3 linked regions of the Sus scrofa genome follow. The protein of the gene in region 3 binds, or shares a complex with, the protein of the main gene of each other region. Links are inferred from orthologs where the notes say so. Each region holds a gene or a part of one and is shown on either strand. Other genes may lie near its edges. The genes, in order: SRSF1, CIRBP and TNPO3.

What was found.
Region 1: the proteins of TNPO3 (region 3) and SRSF1 are in contact, whole or in part, in a crystal structure (PDB 4C0O), measured with the Homo sapiens proteins. The link is inferred for Sus scrofa from reciprocal best matches to the Homo sapiens genes TNPO3 and SRSF1. Residues at the interface, in NP_036602.1 of Homo sapiens: His155, Arg157, Arg160, Thr167, Tyr254, Ile256, Glu257, Glu304, Glu340, Ile341, Phe343, Asn344, Tyr347, Arg348, Glu351, His352, Lys355, Thr356, Arg620, Asn656, Glu660, Arg661, Arg664, Arg667, Phe668, Arg671, Ser698, Cys699, Tyr702, Ile706; in NP_008855.1 of Homo sapiens: Ser116, Arg117, Arg118, Ser133, Trp134, Gln135, Lys138, Asp139, Arg142, Glu143, Gly145, Asp146, Cys148, Tyr149, Ala150, Asp151, Val152, Tyr153, Arg154, Val172, Arg173, Asp176, Asn177, Arg181, His183, Tyr189, Ile190, Arg191, Arg198, Pro200.
Region 2: the proteins of TNPO3 (region 3) and CIRBP are in contact, whole or in part, in a crystal structure (PDB 8CMK), measured with the Homo sapiens proteins. The link is inferred for Sus scrofa from reciprocal best matches to the Homo sapiens genes TNPO3 and CIRBP. Residues at the interface, in NP_036602.1 of Homo sapiens: Arg620, Glu660, Arg661, Cys663, Arg664, Arg667, Phe668, Arg671, Ser698, Cys699, Tyr702, Ser705, Ile706, Asp709, Glu710, Asp747, Asp750, Asp751, Arg754, Arg758; in NP_001271.1 of Homo sapiens: Tyr160, Arg161, Ser163, Tyr164, Asp165, Ser166, Tyr167, Ala168.

What each region holds. Positions count from the first base shown.
Region 1 is NC_010454.4:34,279,256-34,283,883, reverse strand, and holds the start of SRSF1 (serine/arginine-rich splicing factor 1), read left to right. Parts: upstream 1-1,765; 5' UTR 1,766-1,855; coding exon 1,856-2,049; exon of another isoform or gene 2,050-2,476; intron 2,477-2,484; coding exon 2,485-2,669; intron 2,670-3,015; coding exon 3,016-3,188; intron 3,189-3,391; coding exon 3,392-3,586; 3' UTR 3,587-4,628. UniProt on the Homo sapiens protein: Plays a role in preventing exon skipping, ensuring the accuracy of splicing and regulating alternative splicing.
Region 2 is NC_010444.4:77,191,410-77,195,734, forward strand, and holds the start of CIRBP (cold-inducible RNA-binding protein), read right to left. Parts: upstream 2,965-4,325; 5' UTR 2,835-2,964; intron 1,860-2,834; exon of another isoform or gene 1,765-1,859; 5' UTR 1,759-1,764; coding exon 1,656-1,758; intron 1,568-1,655; coding exon 1,461-1,567; intron 1,368-1,460; coding exon 1,229-1,367; intron 1,156-1,228; coding exon 1,074-1,155; coding exon of another isoform or gene 1,070-1,073; exon of another isoform or gene 961-1,069; coding exon 843-960; 3' UTR 516-842; coding exon of another isoform or gene 499-515; 3' UTR 1-498. UniProt on the Homo sapiens protein: Cold-inducible mRNA binding protein that plays a protective role in the genotoxic stress response by stabilizing transcripts of genes involved in cell survival. Acts as a translational activator.
Region 3 is NC_010460.4:19,631,246-19,635,073, forward strand, and holds part of TNPO3 (transportin-3), read left to right. Parts: intron 1-503; coding exon 504-650; intron 651-3,060; coding exon 3,061-3,168; intron 3,169-3,828. UniProt on the Homo sapiens protein: Importin, which transports target proteins into the nucleus. Specifically mediates the nuclear import of splicing factor serine/arginine (SR) proteins, such as RBM4, SFRS1 and SFRS2, by recognizing phosphorylated SR domains.

The sequences.
Region 1 (4,628 bases), on a different chromosome or scaffold from region 3:
TCCTGCATTGCTGTGGCTGTGGTGTAGGCTGGCAGCTGCAGCTCTGATTTTAACCCTAGCCTGGAATCTTCCACATGCCGCAGGAAGAAAAAAAATATCTATCATTGGAGGATGATCTAAAAGACAAAAAAACTGTGCGATACCCAGTTTTGAAAACCATCAGATTTCAAGGACTACTACTAAAGATCTTCTGTGAATCTGTTGAGCAGCAAATTAAATTTGCATTTTGGGATTACTGAGAACACTGTTAAAATACATGCAATCGCCTTTTAGAACTGAAAACATGACCTTCTGAAAAATCTTTTTAAGGCACTTTGGATCTTGAATATACTGTTTCCTTCTTTACTGTGACTGCCATGATGACTAGGGTCAAATTTGTAATCCATCTTTAGAACTCACAAATTTTTACTGCAGCCATTTTGTGTATTAACTTTATCCATGACTTCATTTTAATTTCCCCTTATATTCTCCGTGATTTCTCCATTCAATTGCAATAACGTTTTCTGGTATCTCTGTAAACAGCATCACATCACTGGGGAGAGGGATTGATGCGAATAAATAAAAATGAAGAAAATCATCCTCTCAATCAGGGTGCAGACCTGTTTCAGCATATTTATGACAGGGTTTTTTTTTTAATTTGAATTCACCATTAATATTTTAAAATCCCAGTATTTCATATAAAAATCCAGATTTCAGATGGCTCCGTGGCAAAATGTAACAAGTTCTTATCTCCCTGGACCAACATGCTGGCGAGATGAGTCCTTAAGCCGCCACTTCGGTCTCCAGTGGTCACAGAAATCCTCACACATCCACTTTGCTCATTCATATTACCTGAGAGATTTGCTAATGAGTTCCAAAAAAGGAAGGAACGTCAGGATTCTGCAATACAAACAGGAGGGCGCGCGTCTTTTTCGTTCTTTGAAAGACGTTGTAGAAATAACAGACACAATTCATTCTGCAAACCTTCACTGGACCTCTCCGCTGCGCTGGGCCCTGGCGATAGGTGATTTAAAAAAGAAGCAGAGGTCTGGGTCCTGGTTGGCTGATGCCGCCAGGAATTACCGCCACGAGCACAAGGAGCGTTGAACTGAGGTCAGTTCTGAACCGAAGGTGGAACGGTACTTAGCGTAGAATATTTATTAAAGCGTCTCAGCCAGGTTCCCCTGCATTAGACAGTCGTCCAAGCAGTCCACGGCCCGTTCGCAGATGGGGCGGGAAGACAAAGTCACGTCTCGGCTCCGCGTTGATTCACCCGCAACGCGACTCCTGAACGAGGTGCACTCTCCAAGGATGCCCGTGTTTCCGGAGCAACCGCCTGGTCCCTCCCCCTTTGACTCCGCCCCCGGCAGTCTTTCCCGCCAAAGGCCGTTAACAGCGCAGAGCATGGTGGGACCTAGCTTTAGGCTAGGTTTCACCAAATACTTTCAAGACGCCGTTTTTTTGAGAGAAACATTCCTGAGGAAACTGCTGATTCTTTAGGATTCGACAGAGATTAATAACCCCTTTTACGAGAGCTCTATATTTAATTTTGCCACAAGGCTGGTCACTCCCTTATTAAACCCCTCGACAAATCGGGAAGGCGGGAACTTTTTTCCCTTCGCGCGGAGGGTGACGTCGCGCTTGCGCGAGCGTCACTCTCGCAGCACCCGTTACGCTCTTGCGCGTGCGTAGTGAGATCGAATAGCTGCTTCCTCCCGCTTCTCTTCCTCCCTCCCCCCCATATCCGTGCGCCGAGCTGATAAAGGCGCCATTTTGGAGGGGCCGCGGGAGACGTGGTGTCGCTGCGGGCTCGCTCTCCCGCTCGCTAGGCTTGGTGGGAAGGCCTGTTCTCGAGTCCGCGCTTTTCGTCGCCGCCATGTCGGGAGGTGGTGTGATCCGTGGCCCGGCAGGGAACAACGATTGCCGCATCTACGTGGGTAACTTACCTCCAGACATCCGAACCAAGGACATTGAGGACGTGTTCTACAAATACGGTGCTATCCGCGACATCGACCTGAAGAATCGCCGCGGAGGACCGCCCTTCGCCTTCGTTGAGTTCGAGGACCCGCGGTGAGGCGGCCAGGGGCTTGCGGCCTTGAGGAAATAGGTTGGAGTAGTTGGGGAAGGCTCCGGGGCCTTCACTTGGGGAATGGGGCGGTGGGTTCTTGGGTTGGGGGCCAGACGATATCGCCCATGCAGGAGTCGAGTAAGGAGCCGAGTCGGCGTGGCTCCTCTGGTGGCCGGGCCCCACGGACGTCCCTAGAGCCGACTCGCAGGCTCGGAGCGGGAAACTGAGGCGCCGAGGGCTGCTGGAGTGGTCGGGAGCCTGGCGTGCTTCTGGGTGGGGGAGGGGCCGTTCCTATTATGCGGCGCATGTGGGCTCTTCCACCCCGGTGCGCATGTGCGGGGGCCCGCTCGCTCCCCGGCGGAGTGAGCCGCCCCTCCTGGCCCTTTTTTTTTTTTTTTCTTCTTTTCCTTACCCCTTGGCTTTCTCTGGTCACGCAGAGACGCAGAAGACGCGGTGTATGGTCGCGACGGCTATGATTACGATGGATACCGTCTGCGGGTGGAGTTTCCTCGAAGCGGCCGTGGTACCGGCCGAGGCGGCGGCGGGGGTGGTGGCGGCGGGGCTCCCCGAGGGCGCTATGGCCCCCCATCCAGGCGTTCTGAAAACAGAGTGGTTGTCTCTGGTGAGTTGGCGGGTCCGTGCGGATTGATGATAAGGGGACCGCACACCGTTTTGAAGTTTTTCTTGGTGTTTTCATGCCAGGTCTTCACTTAAACCGGAGTGCCTTGGGTGACTTTAGTTAACAAGGACTACTCTATTTGAGACTTAGCGAATTAGGTTGCAGTACCTAGAAGATAAGAAGAGCCTTAACTTTACAAATAATTTTGGACTCTTGATTCCGAACTCTTTTAACAGCTCGTTAAACGGGATGTTAAAGACCGTTGGTTTTAAGTCTTGTTTTAATGTAACCTTTATGTTTAATGTGAAACTTAGGATAATTGGTATTGAAAGAAAACGCACTTTTTCAGGACTGCCTCCAAGTGGAAGCTGGCAGGATTTGAAGGATCACATGCGTGAAGCAGGTGATGTATGTTATGCTGATGTTTACCGAGATGGCACTGGTGTCGTGGAGTTTGTACGGAAAGAAGATATGACCTATGCAGTTCGAAAACTGGATAACACTAAGTTTAGATCTCATGAGGTAGGTTATATTCTTTTCCTTGGCCAGAATTGGATACAGTGGTCTTAACAGTGGAATTTGAAGGTAAGATTCAGGCAAGGGTGTCCAAGTAAAAACCCAGTAAAGTGCCAGATTTCTGGTTTGAGTTACGTTGATTCATTCAGCATGCCTGAAGACAGGTGAAAGCTTAGATCTTTCAATCGAAAGTTCTGTCTATCCAATAGGGAGAAACTGCCTACATCCGGGTTAAAGTTGATGGGCCCAGAAGTCCAAGTTATGGAAGATCTCGATCTCGAAGCCGTAGTCGTAGCAGAAGCCGTAGCAGAAGCAACAGCAGGAGTCGCAGTTATTCCCCAAGGAGAAGCAGAGGATCACCACGCTATTCTCCCCGTCATAGCAGATCTCGCTCTCGTACATAAGATGATTGGTGACACTTTTTTGTAGAACCCATGTTGTATACAGTTTTCCTTTATTCAGTACAATCTTTTCATTTTTTAATTCAAAACTGTTTTTGTTCAGAGTGGGCTAAAGTGTTGAATTGCATTCTTGTGTAATATCCCCTTGCTCCTAACATCTACATTCCCCTCATGTCTGATAAATTGTATTTTAAGTGATGTCATAGACAGGATTGTTTAAATTTAGTTAACTCTCCATGCTCTTCAGACTGTGATACTGTGTAAATGTCTATTCTGCTCTGGTTTGTGTGAACTGGGATGTTGGGGGTGTTGGTGGTTATCTTACCTGGGGAAGTTCTTATGTTTATCTTGCTTTTCATGTGTCTTTCTGTAGACATATCTGAAGAGATGGATTAAGAATGCTTTGGATTAAGGATTGTGGAGCACATTTCAATCATTTTAGGATTGTCAAAAGGAGGATTGAGGAGGATCAGATCAATAATGGAGGCAATGGTATGACTCCAAGTGCTATTGTCACAGATGAAATTGGCAGTATTGACCTTATACTAAAAGGCAAGGGTTTAAAGTGATTATATACATCTATCTTAAAACACTTGAAAACATTTTATGCAGTTATATTTGGCTACAATTGCTTTACTCTTTAAAACTCTGGCAATTGTGGCAAAATTACATGGCCCATTTTGTAACAATTTGTTTTGCTCCCTTCCCTTTTTTGTTTTATTAGGGACTAATGTGGGAAGAACTGATTAATTTGTCACAGTGCTTAGTTACAACTGTTAATGTGTGACCTGCTGTTGGTGTACTTGTGGGTACAGGGTGTCTTTAATTCCAACCAGATAGAGTATAATATCAATACTGCTAAATCTGCATGTCCTCTGTGTGACTGATATAATAGCGTTGCTACTTCATTTTTTTAAGACAAAATGAAAGCAAAATAATAGAATTCCAATTTATTGGTGTAGATAATCTAGTTGGGAATACTTTTTAAGTCTCACGTTCCCCTTTAATATTCATAATTGACTCATGTTTAAAACACTTTAATTTA
Region 2 (4,325 bases), on a different chromosome or scaffold from region 3:
CCACCCGGTCCTACCATACCATGCTACGCTCAGGAACATTACACGGAGCTGAAAAAAAGCCACAGTGTGCTCAGCTTCCGACAAAGAGCGGATTCAGAGTCCGTTCAGACTCAAAAGACAAGTGACTCGGGGCCCCTAACTACTTGGGGCCGACCCCACGAAAAAGAGAAAAAAGGCAACACAACCCAAACTCAAACTCTCGCAACCCTCAATGATTTTTCTAAAAAGCTCATGGCTCACGATAAAAAGTAAAACCTGAAGTGCTTTGCAAAACATGTTCAAAATCCTCAAAAACAGATGGCACTTCTTTAAAAAGAAAAGTGTAATAATGAGGCCATCTGGGGTCAGAAGCAGTCAGGCTGTGTTTGACAAGATAGGAACTGATAAGACTACAAAAGTGGGTACAAGGAGGTGGATTCACTACACATTAACGATTCAGCGGAGCTCCCAAAATCTTTAAATATACAGCCATTGGAAGGACGATCTTGAGCAGGATTTTTACTCGTTGTGTGTAGCTGAGAAGAAGAAGCAGGCACAGTGTAAAGGCACTGAAGCACGCGACAGGACGCAGCATTCCACGCCCGGGCCCAGACCTGGGGGCTCAGCCCTGCGGCCTCGGGGGCAACCAACCCCCCCACGGCCGAGGGTGGCGGGCGACGGCAGGCCCACATGCACTTATGCTGCCTGCTCCGTGGGCCCTCGCTCTCCCTTTCCTTCTTGGTCAATCTAGTTTCACGATTATGTTTGTGGTAGAAATGGCTGCTGGCACCAAGACCCAGGAGGGCAGTCTTGGACCTTGTGGGCAAGCAGTGAGCAGGTCTGAGCGCTGCCCACAAAGGGCACTAAGGCTCACTGTGCTCCCACTGCAGGCCCTCAGAGCGCCACTTACCGTAACTGTCGTAGCTGTCTCTGTAGGACCCGCCTGAGCTCCGGTCACCATAGCTGCCACCCTGACTCCGGCTGTAGGAAGGACATGGGTGGGCGCTGGACGGTACCTTAGGCTACTTAGAGCAGCCCACATGCCAGCATCCAGGCAGACACCCTTGGCCCCTAGATGGGCCCACCACCCTCACCTGCTGTAGTAGTCCCTGGAGCCGCCATAGCCCCCACTCCTGGACTCGAACCGGCTACCACCATAGCCTCGATCCCCTCCTCCTATACAGAGACAAGAAGTGAGTGTCAGCTCTTGAAGCAGTGCCCCCACCTCTTCCCTGCAAGTGGCACTCACCTCTGGAGAACCCACGGCCCCGGCCTCGGCCCCCACGGAAGAAGCCCCGGCCCCCCGAGGAGCCACCTCGGTACCCACGGGATCGGTTATCAGATGACTTCCCGGCCTGGTCAACCCGGATCTGCCGCCCATCCACAGACTGGAGACCAGAAGTCGATATGGTTAGCCCCCGCACCTCCTGCACTCAGGTTGCAGCCCGGACCTTCTAGACCCCAGGACAGCCGCCTCTCACCTTCCCGTTCATGGCCATCATAGCGTCCTTGGCGTCATCAATGTTCTCAAAGGTGACAAACCCAAAGCCCCTCGATCGCTGGGTCTCCCTGTCCTTCACTACTACCACTGTGCAAGGGAGAGGTCTGAGGTCAGTACCCAGCTCTCCCTGTGAGCGGCCTTGCTCAGCTGCCAGCCAATCTGGAACCAGCCTCACCTTCTGAGATCTGCCCATATTTTGAGAAGACCTGCTCCAGCGACTGCTCATTGGTGTCAAAGCTCAGCCCTCCAACGAAAAGTTTGCCCTCGTCTGATGCCATGGTCACCTGTGGCAAACACCACTGAAATCCTCAGAGGTCCTGCAGGGGCCGGGAGAATCACCCCCTCGCCGTTTTTTACTTTAGACAAATAACACACGCTCCTGGGACAAACATTGGAAAATTGCTTTTGTGCCCTTTAACCATCCCAAGCTCATACCTAGGGCTTAATTCAAACAAGCCCTTGATTCCTTTATCACTCCCCCTTGCCCCTTTTCTGTGCTTGGGCCAACTCCACTCCCGAAATTGGGGGCTCCCGGAAGGCTAGGGCCAGACCGCGGTTCTGCAGCAAGCACTCTTCAGTGCTGCCTGGATTTGGGACCCCAAAACTCCAGCTACGCTGACACCCTCTCAGGACGTTTAGGGCTGGACAATGAAGGAAGGCATCAATCTCCACTGCCACCGGCTGAGTGCACACTGGCTTCTGTCTTTTGCTAACATGTCGGGGGGTGGGGAGGGAGCTAACTTCTAACCCTCTCTATTATACAGGGGCGGCAAAGTGCTTGGTCTACTGTAGGGTGCTATGATGTTAAAAAGGAGCGGGATGTGGGGAGGTGCTGACTTAAAGCGACCCTTTACAGGAAAGGGGCCTGCGCTGAATGACTCCAAAACCAGGCCTGAAGACGACCCGCAGCCTTGCAACCCCTTGCAAGTTTGGGCCCAAACCTGGGGATCGGAGAGTGGGCGGCACCCATGATGTGCCGCCCTCACACAACTCCAACAGGAAAGAGGGGAGTAGCCCCGGCCCCGCCCCCGCGCATGCGCCCCGCCTGCGGCTTGCGCCACTCCATCCGGGTACCCGGGGCTCCCGCCATTTCGCTGGGCGCAGCCTCGCTCTCGCGGCCGCCATTTTACGGCGGTGACCCGCTCGCGGCGCTCTAGCCCGCGGAGGACGTCCTCCGGCCGCGGCACGGCCCGGTCTCCGCAACCCCTCTCCGCCGGCGGAGCGGACTCCACCCCGGACCCGCCCCGGTACCGCCCCCCGCCCAGGGGCGTGCTGCCACCGCCCCGCCTTGGCCGGCCCGCCTTGGCCGCCCGCCGCCCCGGGCCCGCGGAGCCGGTACCGCCAGGGCCCTCACCACTGAGTTGGGCAGGTCCCTGGCGCAGGCGGGAAGACAGCACAGCACAACGGCCTGAGCCTTCTAACGCGCGAATGAGGGGGGGCAGTTTCCGGGTACGGCCTTTTGTACGCTGCCGCTGGGACCCGCCCCCCCTAAGCCCGCCCCCATCCCCCCCTCCCCGAGTCGGCCAATCCAGGGCCCCTGAGGGCGTGGCTGTGCCTCACATTTATGAGTTGGGGGGCTGGGCCTGTGCCGACCCCGCCCCCTCCCGCGTGCTGGCGGGGGTCAAAGTGCCTGGCGGGGATGCGCATGGTCTGCAGTCTCCAGACCATGACGGGGGGCGGGGCCAGCGCGCTGCTGGGCGGAGCTGACCCACTTCCGCGTGCCAGTCCCTGGCCTGCGGCGGGGAACAAAAGGGGTTCAGGCTGCTGCTTCCTCCTGGGAAAGCTCCCTGGCCGCTGCAACCCCGTCCTTTGCAGTGCTCCAATAATCGCCCACATAGGACCTCAGCCAGATCCCCATACGCACCTGAGGATCAGCTCTCAGACACCCCAACTGATGAATCCTGACATCAGTTCTTATATATTTGCCAACGTGTAACCGACACCCCAGAGTGCCCAGAACCCAATGCTCCTGAATGTCCCGCTTAACGTGACTGGCCCCAAAGCCCTCCCAAAAATATTCGTCATGATCCCATTCTTCCTACTTTACAACTTTGGGGTACCCCAATTTCACCCAACCCAGTTTGCCTACAAATCCCAACTTGCATCCTGACTTCACTCCGTCTAGTGCAACGCCCACACCCCCAGTCAGCTGGCCAGACCCTTTTGTGCATCCCAGCACTAGATGGCTGGCTGACCTTGTCCTGGCCTCTCAAACCCACAATTGGGCGCAGCCCTGAGTCCCACTGGACCTCAACATTCAGCTCAGCCCCCGCCTCCCCTTAATCACGTGCTCCAGCACCCCCCCCAACACTATTCTGCACTCCCTTGGCTCCTCCCCCTGAATCTTTTTCCTGTATGAAAGTCCGAATCCGGAGGCCTCTGCAACAGGAGAACCAGGTTTGCAGGGATCTTTACCCCCAGGGCTGCTCCTCTGGATCCCCATGCCCTCTTTATGGGAGCCCCTCTCACGGCCACCACTTTCACCCTGCCCAGGCCTTGGTTACACTACCTTCTGTGTCGCAGAACCCTCCATGGGGTGGAAAAAGCTTGCACAGCTGCTTAAGGGTAGCGAGTTGCCTGCTGAGGCGAGGGTTTCATCTCCTGCCTGGTGCAGTGGGTTAAGGATCTGGCACTGTTGCAGCTGTGGCAGGTATTCAATCCCTGGCTGAGGAAATTCCATCTGCTGCTGGTGCAGGCATAAAATTAACAACAACAAAATGCTAGTGTAGACCCCTGCCTGCCCAGACCAGAGGCCCAAGCTATATCCCTAGAAAGTCTTAAAAGGGCAGACCCTCTGCATAAAAACAGGGGGATTTTAGAGCAGAGACCCATGCTTTGCTTTGCT
Region 3 (3,828 bases):
ACGTATTTTACTCCCCAAAAGAAAATAAAATGATTTCAGAATTTAAGAAAGAATACTTTTTTTGGTCATGCCTGTGGCATGCAGAAGTTCCTGGGCCAGGCAGGGACTGAACCCAAGTCCAAGCTATAGCCTGAGCCACCGTGGTGACCATGCCGGATCTTTAACCCACTGAGTCACTGGAGAACTCCTAGGAAAACATACTTTTAAAGAAACTTCCATTTCTGTATCTGTTTCTCTAAATTTAAAATCTAATATACTGCTGGAGAAGTTCTTTTAGTGCTAAATGGAGAATGTAGGGCCAATCTTCTTAAGTGGAGTTTTAGACCTAACATGGGAAGATAATTTGGGAGGATAATAATAAATCTGCTAGATAGGTGGCTTCTTAACTGGTTCCATTCATAGTATTTAAAATCGTTTCTTTCCTATATGGCCATTATAATAATAAAACTATCTTCTTTTCTAATTCAAATAAACCATCTTTTCTCTTTCTTTTAATTTAATAGGTAGTAGAAATTTCCTTTAACTTTTGGTACCGACTAGGGGAGCATTTGTACAAAACTAATGACGAAGTTATTCATGGCATCTTCAAAGCTTACATTCAAAGACTGCTTCATGCCTTGGCTCGCCACTGCCAGCTGGAACCAGATCATGTAAGTTTTCTTCTCTGCTTAAATCTTGATTTCCTCCTCTTTTTGGTGTAAACTTGAAAAGGAACTGAAAAGATAGAGAATAAAGCTAATGGAATCTACAGGTTTTCTGTCACTCTATAGCTTACACTGAAGAAGTCAACACCAGTATAATGAAAAGTGCTAGGCTTGTGTAGAAAAAAATTAATCCTGCTGAGCCAGTAATTCTTCTGGGAATTCACCTTAAATAGTTTTGCAGGAGGAAAAAATTGCTTTTTAATGTACAAAGCATTGTCTATAAAAGTAAAAATGGTAAACCCATGTGCAAGAGTGTTAGAAGAGTTACATAAATCATGATGTAGCAACTTGATGGACCCTAATGCAGCAGTTAAAAATAATGATTTGAAATAGCAGTGGTTGGTATGCTAGATGAAAAAAGAATGTGAAACTTTATATTTTTAATAGCATAAAATATGTGGTTGAATTAAAACTAACATAAAAGTGGAATATTTGTGTGAGGATGTAGAGAATAATATATGATTCCCCCTCCACATATGTGCCCATTTTTCTTTATATTATTTATATTAACTTTATAATTTTAAAAGAAAATAAATATTTGCTTAAAAGAAAATATACTAGAGATCATATAAAATAGTCCATTGGAAGACTCTTCAACCTCATTCTTTGCTTAGTCTCTTCACATTTTAAAGCATTTATTTTATCCTTTTGGTTGGTTGGTTGAATATCCCTGTACTTCAACCTAGTGGGTTTTTTTTCCTTATTGCATACAATTAAATCTGACATGAAAACTGTATTCTGTTCATTTTAATGTTAACACTGTCATTTGCATTATAGTATTTTGTATTTCCACAGAACCTTCATGATGATTTGGTTTAGTGGTTTTCAGTACTTTTTTATTTTATGTTTTATTTATTTATTTTTTTTGTCTTTTTTTGCTATTTCTTGGGCCGCTCCCGCGGCATATGGAGGTTCCCAGACTAGGGGTCGAATCGGAGCTATAGCCACCAGCCTACACCAGAGCCACAGCAACGCTGAATCCGAGCCGCGTCTGCAACCTATACCACAGCTCACGGCAACGCCGGATCGTTAACCCACTGAGCAAGGGCAGGGATCGAACCCGCAACCTCATGGTTCCTAGTCGGGTTCGTTAACCACTGCGCCACGACGGGAACTCCATCAGTACTTTTTTAAAACAAACTGAGGAGTCTTATCTTGAAATACATCTTAACTTGAAACCCTGATATGTAAATAAGCAGGGCCTCTCTGGTTTAAATGGCTGAGCTTGCTTGATCCTGTTCTTCCCTTTGCTAGGTAGGTTTGTGGCACTATTTCCCTTGCAGGTAATTCCTTCCACTTGTTACTGATAGTGCTTTGTAACTCATTATCTTGTCTGAAACAGCCATTGTTTCCTTCCTTGACCTTAGTTTTTTCATCTTAAAGCAAAGCGGTTGAACTGTATGAGAACTGTAAGGGCTTTCCCCATACTTGTGATCCAAGATTCTTATACATGCCCTTAACCACCTCACAGTTCATAAGCCTCAGTTTACTCACAGGAGTGTGTTGGAATAAGAAAAACTTAAGAAGCATAAAATATAAAAGATCTCTCTTTTTGTGTGTGTGTGTGTCTTTTTGTCTTTTTGTCTCTTTAGGGCTGTACCTGAGGCATATGGAGGTTCCCAGACTAGGGAACTGTAGCCACTGGCCTATGCCAGAGCCACAGCAACACATGATCCCAGCTGCATCTGCAACCTATACCACAGCTCATGGCAACGTCAGATCCTTAACCCACTGAGAGAGGCCAGGGATCGAACCCAAGTCCTCGTGGATCCTAGTTGGGTTTGTTAACTGCTGAGCCACAATAGGAACTCCGATCTCTGTGTTTTTTCATGAAAATTTCAAATATACAACAAAGGTGCATTAATTTTATAGTGAATATCTATATACGTACTACCTAAATTCTACCATTAATATTATTCCTGTCTTACGTATCTATTCACCTATATAAAATTATTTTTAAAGTCTTAAATTCTATTCTGTGTCTAGTTACTGTGATAAAGGTTGATTTTGGTAGCTCTGGAACCATAAAACTTTAGAGGCTAACTCAGTAATAAAAAGCTAGACCTTATCTAGGTAGCCTTATAAACTCTTAAATTATCACTTTTTCTAGGTCACTTCCCATCCTTATCACTCCAAATTTTTCCAACAACAGGGCAAGATGTAGCTTGGACATGCTTAAAAAAAAGAAGAGTTTCTCATAGGAAAGGTAGAGAATAGGTTGTATTGTAATTTAGACTATTTATCTTTTGTTCATTGGGACTGGACTGCTTAATGGCTTTTTTATTCTTGATTATATAGAAGTCAGTGGAAGCTGTAGTGAGTTTAAAACAAATGTTAACCTGATTTGAATTTTTAGGAGGGGGTTCCTGAGGAGACTGATGACTTTGGGGAGTTTCGGATGAGAGTGTCAGACCTGGTGAAAGACTTGATTTTCTTGATTGGGTCTATGGAGTGTTTTGCTCAGGTGAGCCCGTTTGGAGATTCTTTCCAGTTTTACTGATCATTTTAATTTTGTTCACTTCTGTGTCTTCTCTAAGTGTTCCATCTTTTTCTTCAATCTCAATGGCGAAATGGGATAGTAGATATGCAAGTGCCTAGCACACTGCCTGGCATATAGTAGCTGTATTTACTTAGTATTTTGCAAGCCAATTGCAGTGAATGGTTCAGTTATGGTTTACTCTATTACTCTTGCTAGTGAGAGCTGTTCTACTTGTTCAGTTGGAATGGAAGATCACAGATAAACCTAAAAGCCCCCAAGATACTTATAGGGAATTTGGACCTAGCCAGGAAAAATAGGCAAGTTTCTCTGCTTTAATGTATCAACTCCTGGCAACTCTTAGTTATTTGGCATTTATTTCCTTTGCTCATACTGAACGGTTAGATTGCTTTGCCGTTTCATCTCAGAGGTGACTATGCTAGAGTAGAAGAGTCATGGTGCTGTGATTTTCCTGACAGTAACGTTTTACCTCCGAAGACTGCAGTCATCACCATTCCACATCACTTAACATGAGCTTAATTTTGGGTGGTTTTCATATTGCTGGATCATGCTCTGAACCCTGAAATACTAGTTTTGATGCTTTGTCAGCAATACTGAACTAACCTAATTTGGGGGGGTGGTAACCCA